Linked DNA regions of Anolis sagrei. Each later gene encodes a partner of the first gene's protein in a complex. Links are inferred from orthologs where the notes say so. Each region holds a gene or a part of one and is shown on either strand. Other genes may lie near its edges.

Region 1 (7,325 bases):
TGTACAGTATGAATATTGTTTTCTGTTTGAAACAATGGCACAAATTAAGATCCCCATATTTGGTGATCGGTGTAAACACTGTTGACAAGACAGTGAAATACTCATTCAATTCCTTTTTGCCAGCTTAAGTTAGAATTTTCACATATTCTAACCTTTCTTAGCAATGTGAGGAAAAACAGAGTAAATATATTAAATTTGTTTCACAACAGATGCTTAGGTTGTTAATATTTAAGATGTCTCTTAATGCTATGCCTGTCTGCACATTTGTCAAAGAAAAAAGTGTAAGCTGGAGTGCTAATGTTTGCCAGCAGAGTGGAGCAGACTGTAAGTAAGAATGCACAAAACCAAAATAATAGTTGGGGGAGAAAAAATAAGTGGCAGTTTCTCAGTCATATCTTTTAGTAACACAGAATAACGATCTGTCAGATTAGAACATCATCCAATTTAACTACAGAATGCTTCACTGGGAAGTTATGCTGCTTGCCCAAGAAATTCACATTTAACCTTATTTTGGGGAGGGGACTCTCAAGTTTAAACGGATCTCTCAAATAAAATGCAAATCAGATGGTACTGATGCCAAGAATCACAGCCGGAATTCCCTTCCAACAAAGCAAAGCAATTCTCTGCCACTAAAAGAGAAACTTTTGCTCCAGCACAAGTTAGCTGTCATCGCCAAACCTGTTGAGACACACCTCTGAAAAAGGCTGGTTGAAACTAAAGTATTCTGACACAACTTCAGAAGGTACCCTCTGAAACTATTCTGGATCTATGTGGCTTTCTAAAGCTGTCAAAAGCTTTCCAAAATCAGGATTTTTTGTTAAGGGGAGGAGAAAGGGGAAGATGAGTGATCCAGTGCCTCCTTCTGGAGGGGACACTTAGGAAAAGTTCAGGTGAATAGCCAAAGGAAACTGCATTTCCTTATGGGGTGCCGTTTCAGGGACCACCCAGTGCTTAAAAGGAAGGAGGCGGGATGGAGGCTGCCCAGGGAAAGGCGGGATGCGAGGGAAAGAGAGAGGCACCTGCGAAGGTGTGAGCGAGAAGCCGCCTCCTTAAGGTCATCCGAGGGACAATTGGACACATCCCGCCCATCAAATGCCCTCAATTTTGGGAAACACGAACTCTTCCCGCCAAAAAGCGCCTCTAAATTGACCTCTCCCTTGTCTGGCGAGAGAGTGTTCACCTCGCCTTTTCAAACTCGCTCACTTTCCTGTCAGTCTTGTCAGAGTCCCCGGCCTTCCTCTCCTCTTCCTCCCGCCGCCAGCATCTCCCCTGAGTCTCCTTCCTTCCTTCCTTCCTTCCTTCCTTCCTTCCTTCCTTCCTTCCTTCCTTCCTTCCTTCCTTCCTTCCTCAGCCTCGCCTCAAAGGCCCCTGAACCTAAAACTTCCTGGCTGCGCTCCGGGAAGGCGAGACGGAGTTGAGCCCAAACTTTTCTCCCGGCGCCACGGACCTCGCTTGCCTCAACTTCCCCGCCGGCAGGTGCCTCTCGGAGGTGCCTCCGAGCCATTTCACCAAAAACCAATGTCTGTCAGAAACAAAAAAGCCACGAACTTACAAAAAACCCCAAAACCCTACGAAGACCTCGGCCCTGAAGACCTTCGCTGGTAGCTAGGGAATAGGTACATGGGGAAGTAAAGCTGCTGCCTGAATAAAGCCACATAGCTGGAATTGGTTTCACCGCGTAATAGTCGCTCCCACCCCTTTTCAGCCAAAAAAGGGGTACAAAGTGGGATGAGTGAGAAACCCCTCTGAGCCCCTCTAAAGATGAGTGAGAAGCCCCTCTAAGCCCCCCTAAAGATGAGTGAGAAACCCCTCTAGAACATGTCCATACAGCCCGAAAAAAACTAAAACAACCCTCTAAGGATTGCTGTAAGTTTTCCGGGCTATGTAGCCACGCTCCAGAAGCATTCTCTCCTGACGTTTCACCTGCATCTATGGCAAACAACCTCAGAGGTTGTGAGGTCACTCTAAGGCTTTCCCTCAGCTGAGTGTGAACTCTTCACTTTCAGAAGTAGATAGATACAAGCTCTCTCAACCCCTCAGCCCTTCCTACCCGAACTCAAGTTTGAACTCTTCACACCCAGAATTGGATACAAAACGACAACAACAACAAAAGAGCGGGAGGGGGAAAAGAAGAGGGTGTTGGAAGTGGAGGGAAAGAAGGAAAGGAAGGCAGGCAGTCAGGCAGGCGAGAAAGGACGGAGTCAGTCACTCACTCATGAGAGCGCGGCGAGGCTGGGCGACACCTTCCGCTTCCCCGGCGCCGGCGAAGTTAATTGCACTGAACTTCAAGTTGTCTTTTCAGCCATCAGGAGTGGGCGTTTAAAGGAAGGAGCGCGGAGGAAGAGGAGGAGGAGGTGGAGGAGGAGGAGGAGGAAGAGAAGAGGAAAGGAGGAGGGGGCACAGAGAGAGAGAGAGAGAGAGACAGAGAGAGAGCCTGCCACCCTCTCTCCCTCCCTCCTCTGCTCCTGAACTGCCTGGCAGGCGGCGACTGAAGAGGAGGAGGAAGGAGACGACGAGAAGGCGGCGCCCCACCGACCGACCGACCCACCGCCTGCCTCTTCCACCTTCTCTCTTTCTCTCGGCTGGCACTGAAGCCCACCAAGTGCCCGACGCGGGGCTCCTCCTTCGGCTTCCTTCCTCGATCAGGAACTCTGTTTCGCTTTCTTCTTTCTTTCTCTCTCTTTCTTTTTGTCTCTTTGCCTTCTGGCTCTTTTCTTCCCGCGGAGAAGACTGAGACGGAGTGAGGGGCGAAGAAAGGTTGGCAGGAGGAGGAGGAGGAGAGGGTTGGCTTGGCTTCCCTTCTTGCTGCTGCTGCTGTTGTTATAATTATTGTTTTTGTGCTTGTCTCCTCTGCTCTCCTCGTCCGCCGGCGTCTGCCGTTCCTTCTGCCACCCTCCCCTAGGTTTTGTTGTTGTTGTTGTTGTTGTTGTTTGTGTGGGGCTGGCTGGTGAGCGCGCCTGCTTGCCTTCCTGCCTGTTTCTCTCTCTCTTTTTCTCTCTCTCTCTTTCTGCCTTCCTCCCTCGCCGCCCCGGGGAAGGAGGAAGTCAGGTGAGACGCACTCACAGGCTGCACACACTTCCCTCCCAGTCCCCGTGCGGCGGGAAGGAGCTCATCACTGTTGGGCTTGTGTTGTTGTTGTTTTTCAACGCTATTCTCATCCCTGCCCCCTCCTCTTTCTCTTTCCCCCACCTCTCTTTTCCTCAACGCTGCTCCCCTTCTTTCCTCCCGGAGAGCAGCGCCCCTCACAGGCTCACCACCAAGGCTGCTGAGTCTCCCCTTTTTATCTCCTCCTCCTTCTCTTCCCCCCACTTTCTATCTATCTCTCTATTTATCTCTCACCCCCACCTTCTCTATTCCCCCCTCCACTCTAATATTTATACACCACATGCTTGGCTGTCAGCTGCTGCTCACTTCAAATCTAAGAAATAATGTACTGTCGAAGGCTTTCGTGGCCGGGATCACTGGGTTGCTGTCTTCTATGGCTATCTTCCAGAAGCATTCTCTCCTGACGTTTCGCCTGCATCTATGGCAGGCATCCCCAGAGGTTGAGAGATCTGTTGGAAACCAGGCAAGTGGGGTTTATGTAATGTCCAGGGTGGGAGAAAGAACTCTGCTTGAGGCAGGTGTGAATGTTGCAATTGACCACCAGCAGTGGAACTCTGTGTGGTGGAGGCTTTTAAACAGAGGGTGGATGGCCATCTGTCGGGGGTTCTTTGAATGCGATTTTCCTGCTTCTTGGCAGGGGGTTGGACTGGATGGCCCACGAGGTCTCTTCCAACTTTATGATTAGCATTTACTGGTCTTGCAGCTTCAAGGTCTGGCTGCTCCTTGCTTGGGGGAATGCTTTGTTGGGGGTGTGTGTGATTAGATGGCCCTGGTTGTTTCTTGTCTGGAATTCCCCTGTATTAAAAATAAACTCAAAAATCAAAACAGTTAATAAAGAACAATACTCAAAGTAGGAAATTACAGACAAGAAACAATCAGGGCCAGCTAACACTTTCCAACAAAGGATGCCCAGGCAGCAATCAGACAGGCTTTGAAGTTACAAGGCCATTCAGTGCTAATCAAGGGTGGACAATTGCAACATTCACACCTTCCTGAAACAGACAAGAGTTCTTTCTCCCACCCTGGACATTCCACAGATATATAAACCCCATTTTCCTAGTTTCCAACAGACCTCACAACCTCTGGGGATATGTATTTATCATATCAGACGCGAACTGGGGGTACAGTTGTACTGTATACAGTATTGGGTTTTTTTTTAAAGTTTTTAAAAACTTGGCCTTATACTAAATAATATCCTTTGACCAGTAGCTGGCCACTTGGGAGTGCCTCTGGTGTTACTTTAAGGAGGTCCTCCACAGTGGATGTGGCAGGGCTCAGGTTGCATTGTAGTAACTGGAAGCGACTTTTGAGGATGCCTGGCCTGCCATAGATGCAGGCGAAACGTCAGGAGAGAATGCTTCTGGAACATGGAAAAACTCACAACTAAGAAATAATGTTTGAGGGGTGGGAGGTAGAGGAAGAATATGACCGAGCAGGGCAGTTTTCCAAAATCTAACAAAGGTGATCAATATTTTAAGGCTCGGGAGAAGATCGGGAAGGAAGGAACGGGTTATGATCTTCCTCTCTTTCTGAAATTGTGATACATATAAAAATACCGAGAGGAAGATCATAAATATATATATGGAGGGAGGGGCCACTCTTTCGACTGCTGGATCGTGGCTTCAGAGACACAGAGAAAGAGACACACGGCGAGGAAGTGGAAAAAGGAAAGGGAAACTTCTGTGTCAGAATGCGAGCATATTGGCTCTTCTGCTCTGAAACCTGGACCGGCAACCGAGAAAGCTGGCTTCCTAGAAATCCATTGAAAGAGGGAGGGAGGAGTGCTGCCTTTAAACCTGGGATTTGGAGAGCTTTGTATCCCTGCTTGGCGTTCCCCACTAGAGTTACTTAGAAGGTATTCGGCTCTGTTGGTTCTCTGCCTTCGGGTTCATTTCCCGTTTTGGTACCTTTTAAAACCTCCCTGCAGCCTCTCAGACAGACTTTGAGACCTTTCCTGTCTTCACAGGAGCAGAGTATAGAGAAACCTGGGCAAAGTTCTTGGAAACACAATCCTTACAAACCTTTCCCAGCCCCCCAAACCTCAGGAAGCTACCTGATTGATCTGAAAGCAGGGAATTCAGTGTCAAATCCACCCTGCTCCTTTTAATTTCTGGATTATGCATGCTTCTTTCACAACAGATTTAACTATAGGCATATTTTGGCATGCAAACAATGCCCGGGCAATGATTATAAGGGCACACCTTTCTTTAATAACTGGTAATAATATACCATTTCTGAAATAATAATAATTATTAATAATACTAATTATTATTCATCAGAATGAAACCTAAGTAAAGGTTGTATTATATGTTGTTGTATGCTGACAAAAATGCCAACTTGGCAGTTCTTAGTTCAGAAAGACAAAACTTTTGGCTACATTTTAGTAACTGAAAAAATAATAATTTTAACACATTACAACTTCAGTCCACTGCTGGTTCAATCTCAGATTCCTGTCCTTTCAAAATATTCTTAATTTTTTTGCAAATCCATCAGACAGGTAGAGAATCTGTAGTCTTCCATAGACTGGACATCGTCCAACTTCCAGTCAGTATGATCAAAAGAGTGTATATCTAAGAATCAGAGTACTTTGGTACTAAGTGTATAACTTAAATAGCTTTGTAGTACTGAAGGAGTGATTCCTGATATGCATGTTGGTACTTTGAAACAACACAGTTAACTGCTCTTAAAAATCACGAGGGAGTGGTCAAAGCATTACCTGTCCCAATAATAATAATAATAATAATAATAATAAACTTTATTTGTACCCCACCACCATCTCCCCAATGGGGACTCGGGGCGGCTTACATGAGGCCAAGTCCAACAACGCAACACAATAAATAGAATACAAACATAAACAAGAACATAAACAATTACATAAAACATAAACTATAAAATACTATAACCAATATAAAATTGCAATAAAATCATTCATAACACAAAACAGTGAGTGGGCCGCATGTATAGAGTGAAATACTAAAGGTAAAAATGGGGTGAGATACCTTTACTATTTGCGAGGGGGGAACTCTTCCGAAATGGGGTCGAAAAAGGTACCTTCGTACAGGGGGGAGGTATGCACTAAGAACAAGTGTTACTGGCAATATGATACAATAACTATCTAGAAGTCATTGCAAAGCCAACACAAATGGCTGTGCCCTGGTGTTACCTGAGTTGTTATGACCAGCCTCATTATTAGGCAAATACAATAGAGTCTCGCTTATCTGACATAAACAGGAGCCCCTGGTGGCACAGTGGGTTAAACCCCTGTGCCGGCAGGAGGAAAGACCGACAGGTCACAGGTTCGAATCCGGGGAGAGGCGGATGAGCTCCCTCTATCAGCTCCAGCTCCTCATGCGGGGACATGAGAGAAGCCTCTCACAAGGATTATAAAAACATCAAATCATCCATGTGTCCCCTGGGCAACGACCTTGCAGATGGCCAATTCTCTCATACCAGAAGCGACTTGCAGTTTCTCAAGTCACTCCTGACACGACCAATAAATCTGACATAAATGGGCCAACAGAACGTCGGATAAACGAAAATGTTGAATAATATGGAGTCTCCTACTGTTAGCCATTTGATGCAGTGCTAGACACCTAGAATACTACAACAGGGACTCAAATGGTTAATGTAAGGCAATGCCTCGGGGTTAGAGTGGCCCAGCAGGAAGTGTCCAGATGTGGAAGAGGAACATGGAAATCACAGAGGGAAGGAGGAAGGATGCTTCTGCTTCCGGTCCTGCCTCTTCCTCACCCCCCTTGTCTCACCTTTTTCACTTATAGGGAATGGAGAGAGAGTTGGGAAGTGCTCCTTTAATTGAAAGAGAAATGCTGGAGGAAAAAGGATAGGAGCGTCGGATGAGACGGAATGTCGGATAAGCGAGACTGTAGAAGCAACTGCTTTAGAAGGAAAGCACTAAGGAGCAGTGAGGACAGCCCCTTAGTGTCCATTGGCTTTTCTCTTGAAAACAGCTCTGTCTCTGTCATGGAGTCTGCCTTGCTTCTCTCCCCCCACCCCGAATAGTCCATTGCCCTCTAAAATAGTGGGCACTATCCTGCAAATTAAGATTTAACAGATAACTGGTGGTGCAGTGAATTAAACCACCAAGGTGCTGAACTTGCTAACCAAAATGTTGGTGGTTTGAATCCAGGGAGTGGGGTGAGCTCCTGCTCTTAGCCCCAGCTTCTGCCAACCTAACAGAAAACATGCAAATGTGAGTAGAT
Region 2 (7,414 bases), about 55 Mb from region 1:
TGGAGAAAACTTTTGCTTTGAGAAGGCCTCTTAAGAGTAGACCGATATACCAGGATCTGATCCCAAATTATCTATTTTGAACTGGATTATATGAGTCTACACTGATAAATAATCTGGGATAAGAAGATAATCTGGAATCAGATCCTGGGATATAGGGCAGTATAGATCCAGTCTTAAGAGGCCTTCTCAAAACAAGAGTTATCTCCAAACCCAGATAATTGAAAATAGACTGTCTCGATTCAGTCTAAGAAGCAGAACCCTTTTGCTAGAGCTGTTTCCGACTTATGAAAGCTCTGTCAGTGGGTTTGCTTGGAAAGATTTGTCCAGAGAGGGTTTGCCTTTGCTTTTCTTTGAGGCTGAGACAGTGTGGGGTCTCCACGGCTGGATGGGGGAGTCTCCAAATCGCTTCAACCACTAAAGGAAACCGAAGAGCTCACAGATATCCTGGATTTCAGGAGAGGATGCTAGTTCGGTTTATGTGACCCCATCCTCCACCCTTAATCTCCTGTATTCGGCTCCCCCCTCTTGGTTTCCTAAACAACCTGCCCCATAGCACAGGGGTGAAGGAAGAGAAGCGGACAGAAAATTGAGATGAGAGGAAGAAAGAGGAAAGCCTGTCTCTCCAACTATGGCACCAACAAGGAAAGTTGGGAGGAGATCCTCAAAAGAATCACCCTCTTTCCTTTCCTCTCCTCTCACCTTCCTTCTTCTCCTTGGGGTTTTAGACTCATTAAGAATCCCAGTTCTTTCAAAAACTCCTCGGGTGGAGAAGAAAAGGGCAAGGAAAGGAAGGAAATATACCCTATCCTTTATCCACCAAACTGGCGAGCCTAGAGGGAGAGAGGATGAGCCATGGCGTCGAAGGCACTGGTTCTTTTGAGATAGTGGCGAGTGGTTGTTCTCCCCTGCCATCCTTACATACACATAGAGTCCTGAAATAAAAAAAATATTCCAAACACACCACATCACCTTCACCCTTCTTAAGGAGAAAAGAGCATTATCTCCGAAGTATCTTCTGTTCCTCCAGCTTATTAAATAACCCAAGCGCCCAAGTACAACCACAAGCAGAGGTGGTATGTGTACTTCTAGGGCCATAAGTGAATGCATGGATCAAGATGTATCTTTTTATCCTGATTAAGGATGGTTCAAAGGAAGGGAAGAAGAGAGGAAGGAAAAGAAAAGAGGAAACGAGGAGGGAGTGAGGGAGGGAGGAAAAGATTGGAGTAGCATTCCAACCTGTCTTTTCCCCAGTTGTTTCTTTGGCTTGGAGCAACCTTTCCCAGCTTCGAATAGGTTTGAAATACCAAGATTTGAGGAGGGCCACTCTTTATCCGAAATTGTAGGAGCACTGGCGATTTTCTCTCACTCCTGATTAAGGATGGTGAAAAGGAAGGGTGGAAAGGAGGTGAGTGGGCGGAAGGAAAGAAAGAAAGAAAGAAAGAAAGAAAGAAAGAAAGAAAGACAGACAGACAGACAGAGGAAGAGAAGAAAGCAGGTAGAAGGAAGGAAGGAAGGAAGGAAGGAAGGAAGGAAGGAAGGAAGGAAGAGACGATCGAGAAGGGAAGGGAAGAAAAAAAGAAAGAGGTAGGAGGAAAGAAAGAAGGAGGAAGAGAAGGAAGGGAGGGAGAGAGGGAGAGGAGGAAGGGGTTGGAGGAAAGAAAAAAGGAGGAAGAGAAGAGAAAGAAGACATGAAGGAGAGTGGGAGGAAAGAAAGAAAGAGGAAGTGAAGGAAGGGGGTAGGAGGAAAGAAAGAAGGAAGGAAGAAGAGACGATAGAGAAGGAAGGGAAGGGAAGAAAGAAAGGGGGTAGGAGAAAAGAAAGAAGGTGGAAGAGAAGGAGGGAAGGAAGGAAAGAAGAGGAGGGAGGGGTAGGAAGAAAGAAAGAAGGAGGAAGAGAAGAACATAAGGAAGGAAGGAAGGAAGGAAGGAAGGAAGGAAGGAGGAAAGCAAAAGGAGGAAGAGGAGGAATGGGATAGAAAGAAAGAAAGAAAGAAAGAAAGAAAGAAAGAGAAAGAGAAGAAAGGTAAGGAAGGAATGGAAGGGAAATAGAAGGAAGAAGAGGAAGGGAGTAGAAGGAATGAAAGGAGAAAGAGAAGGAAGAGAAAGAAGGAATGAAGGGATTATAGAGAAGGGAGGGGAGGGAGGGAAGAAAGAAAGAAAGAAAGAAAGAAGAGAAGAGAAGGAAGGGGATAGGAGGAAAGAAAGAAGGAAGAAGAGATTATAGAGAAGTGAGGGGAGGGAAGAAAGAAAGAGATAGGAGGAAAGAAAGAAGGAGGAAAAGAAGGAAAGAAGGGATAAGGAGGAAAGAAAAAGGAGGAAGAAGAGGAAGAGAAGGAAGGAAGAGGAGGAAGGAGTTAGGAGGAGAGAAAGAAAGAGGAAGAGAAGGAAGAGAAAGCAGGAATGCAGGTGGTAGGAGGGAGGGAAAAGAAAGGGAAAGAGAAAAGAAGGAAGGAAGGAAATAAAGGGAAGGGAATTGTCTTTTCCCCAATCGTTTATTTTGCGTTGAGCCCTAGAAAGTCCTTGCCCGCTTTCCCAGGAATTCGTAGGTTTGGAATAGCCAGATCTGGGGCGAGGGCACCCCATGGTTCCCCCCTCCCGCCTTATATACCGACCTGGAGGGGAAGCGGCGGCTGATCCAGGCAGGGAGGCAGGGAAGGCGGCGGCGGCTGCGGGCGGAGCCGAGGCCGGGCCGGGGCTGGCTTTCTTGGCGCCCTTCTTCTCCTTCATCCAGGGGAATTCCCCGGCCAGGGGGGCGGTGGGGGCGGGGGGCACCGTCGGGGGCGCCGTCGTTTTCGGGGCCTGCCCATGCCCGTGCCCGTGCCTCCGTCTCTTTTGGCTCCTTGGCGTGGGTTGGCCGCTACTGCCGCCGCTGCTGTTGCTGCTGCTGCTGCTGCTGAGAGAAGAAGGATCCAAACCGAGGAGGCTTTGCTCCGAAGGAGGAGGAATTAACGTCGGTGGCTCCTTGATTGATGAAGTTTGAAATGTCTCCAGGACAGCGGGAAGGGACGTCAGACACTCCGCTAGCGATGGCTGGCTGTTTATGAAGCCGATCTCCCTCTCAAATTCAAAATTCATGGCTTTTTCCAAGGGGCCCAGTACAAAAGGGAGGGGGAATGGAGGGGAGGTGGGGGGGGGGGGAGAAGAGAGAGAAATGCGGGTGGGTGGGTGGGTGGGGAAGCAACGATTGATCTTGAAGGCCCTTCTAATATTTTATATCGCCTTAGTATTAATGTTACTTGCCGTCTCCTCCCCCCTCTCCCTGCCCCCCTTTGCAAAAAAAATATCTTATATTGCAGATAATACAAGCGTATGGGGACCTTGCTCTATTAAACTGACGAGCAGGGATAAATTGCAGCCAATTCCTGGTCACGTGGCCTGGCTTGCCCAATAGGAGGGCCGGCTTGGTTGAAAACAGGTTTGTTTTTCATGCATTTGAATAATAATAATAATAATAATAATAATAATAATGTATATATAATAATCATAATAAATATATAATAATCATAATAAATTAATTATTAAAGCAGCTTTTGGAGAATCTCTGTCCTCTTATATAGGATGACTCCTAAGGAAAATGCCAAGAAAAGGTTGTGCAAGAAAGGGGGGACAGAATGGTGCTGGTTGGCTGAAGTCTGCCTTTTTCACTTCCAAGGGGAGAGAAAGGCCCATCTTAACCCCAGTTCCCAGGAGGGAACAAGCAGGACAGAAGGAAACCCAGCTCTTGTCCCAAAGGACAAGAGACAGAGTTCAGAGATGATGGAAGAGGACGTTTCCCAGGCAGATTCAGAAAACTAAGTTAACAACCAACCCCACCCAAAATCTAGGCAGAGAAAGCAGCCCTCTTAAAGATATTAGATCTGCAGGTTCTTTTAAAAAGCTACTTCAAAACGTTTTCGTTAGTAGTCCAATTGTAGGCCTTTTGATCAGCTAGAATGTCAAAAGTCATTTGAAAAACAAATAAGTCTAGTTTTTGACTGATTAAAGACCAGAGGTGGTAATATTTCTGCACACACCCCCAATAATAATAATAATAATAATAATAATAATAATAATAACTTAACTGCAAAAGGCCACCTTACTTGGATCTGTGTGCATCATTCGAAAATACATCACACAGTCCTAGACGCTTGGGAAGTGTTCGACTTGTGATTTTGTGATACGAAATCCAGCATATAGATCTCATTTGCTGTGACATACTGTGCTTTTGTGTCCATAATAATAATAGTAATAATAATCTATAAATTAAAGTGTAATGTTCGTTTGTGGGATTCGCATAACTCAAAAACCACTGGATGAATTGACACCAAATTTGGACACAATACACCTATCAGGCCAACAAGTGACCATCATTCATAAAACACTGAAAAACACAGAAGAGACTAAAAAAGCCAAAAAACACATTACAATACATATATGAGCAAACACACATATTCACAAATATATACACACATATATACACACACATATACACAGACTGGGCCACAGCAATGCATGGCAGGGGATGGCTAATAATAATAATAATAATAATAATAATAATAATAATAATAATAAATGACACAGTCCTAAATGCTTGGGAAGTGTTTGACTTGTGATTTTGTGATATCCAGCATACATAACTCATTGGCTGTGTTATACGGTGTTTTTGTGTCAGTAAAATAATAATAATAATAATAATAATAATAATAATAATAATAATAATGTATTTATATTCTGCCCTATCTCCCTGGAGGGACTCAGTGTATATCTGCAGATCATCAAGCTGATTTGAAGCATTTCTTTTCTAATATAAGTTTATTAGATGTGCTCAAGAATATTTCCACTACTAGGCCATCAAACAAAAAAAGTTGTACACAAAGTGAGAGAAAGAGCCAAGAGTGTGGGGGAGAGAGGCAGAGGCAGAGAGAAGCGATCAATCTTTTCTCACCAAAGACTCCTGACAGCCCTGCCTTTGCTCACATCCTAAAGAATTTGGACCTTCCTCAAAATTCCTAAGAAATGTCCTTCTTCCTTCAGAGATTTGGGAGCAAAGGTACCAAAATATAACCTCTTGGAGATTGGAGAGAAAGTGAGAAACAAATAAATCAAAAATTCTGAAAACATAGGATACTTTTTGGGGGGAAAGTCTTTGTTTATCAAAGCTCAATTTATCCCCTTCCAGAGTCTTGTTAGAGACAAGACCAGGGCTGGGAAAATGTATTGAGAAATGGAGTGAAGCTCAGAAACTTTTGTGTACTGAAATGTCTGTGTGGGTGGCTTTAAATAGAAGCCCTAAAACTGGAGGTGTATGATGCTTTAGAATTGAGAAAAAAATGTTACCACTAGTAGTAGTATCTTTATTATGGTTATTATTACCAACGAGCTCTTCATATTTTGAGGGGTGCTATGAAATGAGTTATTAAAGCAGTATATTTTTCTGTTATTTGGTAGTATGCCTATGCTATTATAAGTTTATTAGTATACCTAGTGGTGTGAGAACAACAACAACAACAACAACAACAACAACAACAAAAACTTTATTTGTATTCCGACCTATCTCCCTGAGAGGCTCAGAGTGAATTCCAGGAAACTAGGAAATTGTAAACTGGTATATGAGAATTTAAGCCAATATATAGACCATGTTTCAGCCAAAACTCTTTGCTAATGAAGTCCCATTTATTTTAATGAGAGACTCCAGCACTAATTTCTCCCATTGAAATGGATTGATCTTGAAAAACTAGAATTTTCTTTTTTTTAGTATACTTTCCATTAAAATCAAATACACTGTCTGTATTGTGAATTTGCATTGTAAAGCCTATTGCTGTTGCTGCTGCTATGCTATTATAACTGTTGTTTCATCTTTGGACCATGTGTATAGAAATAAATACTTTGAAAACTTCCTTCCAGAGTTTCTAAAATTACTATGAGAATAAGACCATAGTAAAGCATCTACCAACCTGGGATGTTCAGAAGTGCTGGACTACTGCTCCCATCATCCTCAGAAATCATGGCCATCCCTGATGTATATTTAATGGTAGGACTTAGAGCACAACATGCTTGGAGACCATGAGGCTGGAGAAGAATAGCTTACTACTATAATAAGATGCTATGGAGTTCTGTAATTGTAGTCATGTTTGGTCTGTATCTGTAAAAGTTTAGTATTATTTTCTAGTCTTATTGATTTCAAAAAAGTAGAGTTTTTTTCATGTCAGGAGCTACTTGAGAAACTGCAAGTAGAGTGAAAATAATGTGAAACAAATGCAAAAAGGGGAAATGAATGTTGCCATCTATACCTGTTTACAGAAAGGTGGGGTCTGGCTGAAATAATCTAGAAAGAATTGATACAGAAATACAATTATTTTTTAATGCTTGAGCAAAATTTGGACATGGTAAATTTCTTGTCATACAGGTAGTCCAAATATGTAACTTTTCTAAGCTCTATTTATTCCCATACAGTAACTCCAAGAAGAATTCCACATTTAGTTCCACTTTCAGCTCATGAGCATCAGTTTCCATAGGACGTCCATCTGGCATATTAAATTACATTGGGTTGTCTTTTCACTACTAATTCTCCAGCCCTGTCCATTTCTTGCTTTCTTTTAAAAGCCTTAGATGTTTTTGTCTATACTTGGCTCATTCTTAGTGACACTGCATAATAGGTTTTGTAGTTCTAAGATTATGTAAATTAATGTAAGACTACATTCATTGCAACTATGGTTTGGTTCATGGTACATAAAATATCATAAATACTTTTATTTGGTCTGTCCTGTTCTGAATAAGTTTGAAAATTGTTTTGAGGAGAAAGAGGTGATTGCCAAGGATTTTTAAAAGTACACATACTAAAAAATACTGATGACTTAGCTGAGAAAGACTGACCTACAGTGAGCACGAAGATTATTATTATTATTATTAATAATAATAATAATAGTAATAATAATAATATTGCAATCCCAGGCGAGAGCTGGATTGAAGAGAAACAACTGGAAAAGCTGACATGATATGAGGATTTAAAGATTGAACTGCAAAGATTGGCACAAACCAGTAAAGGTGGTCCCAGTGGTGATTGGCACACTGGGTGCAGTGCCTAAAGACCTTGGCCCGCACTTAAACACAATCAGCGCTGACAAGATTACAATCTGCCAGCTGCAAAAGGCCACCCTACTGGGATCTGCATACATTATTCGCCGATACCTTACACAGTCCTAGACACTTGGGAAGTGTCCAGTGTGTGATCCAATACAACAGCCAGCGGAATGATCTTGTTTGCTGTGGACTCATCTTGTTGTGTTTCTGATGATGATGATGATGATGATGATGCATCACACAGTCCTAAACACTTGGAAAGTATTCGACTTGTGATTTTGTGATATGAAATCCAGCATATGTATCTCATTTGCTGTGTCATCCTGTGTTTTTGTGTCAGTTTAATAGGAATTATA

What was found.
Region 2: SATB1 (region 1) and HOXB2 share a complex: the UniProt entries of both Homo sapiens proteins name them as parts of the nuclear protein complex. The link is inferred for Anolis sagrei from reciprocal best matches to the Homo sapiens genes SATB1 and HOXB2.

The regions. Positions count from the first base shown.
Region 1 is NC_090026.1:87,918,923-87,926,247, reverse strand, and holds the start of SATB1 (DNA-binding protein SATB1), read right to left. Parts: upstream 3,142-7,325; 5' UTR 2,218-3,141; coding exon of another isoform or gene 2,214-2,217; intron 1-2,213. UniProt on the Homo sapiens protein: Crucial silencing factor contributing to the initiation of X inactivation mediated by Xist RNA that occurs during embryogenesis and in lymphoma.
Region 2 is NC_090026.1:33,269,977-33,277,390, reverse strand, and holds the start of HOXB2 (homeobox protein Hox-B2), read right to left. Parts: upstream 3,082-7,414; 5' UTR 3,075-3,081; coding exon 2,612-3,074; intron 1-2,611. UniProt on the Homo sapiens protein: Sequence-specific transcription factor which is part of a developmental regulatory system that provides cells with specific positional identities on the anterior-posterior axis.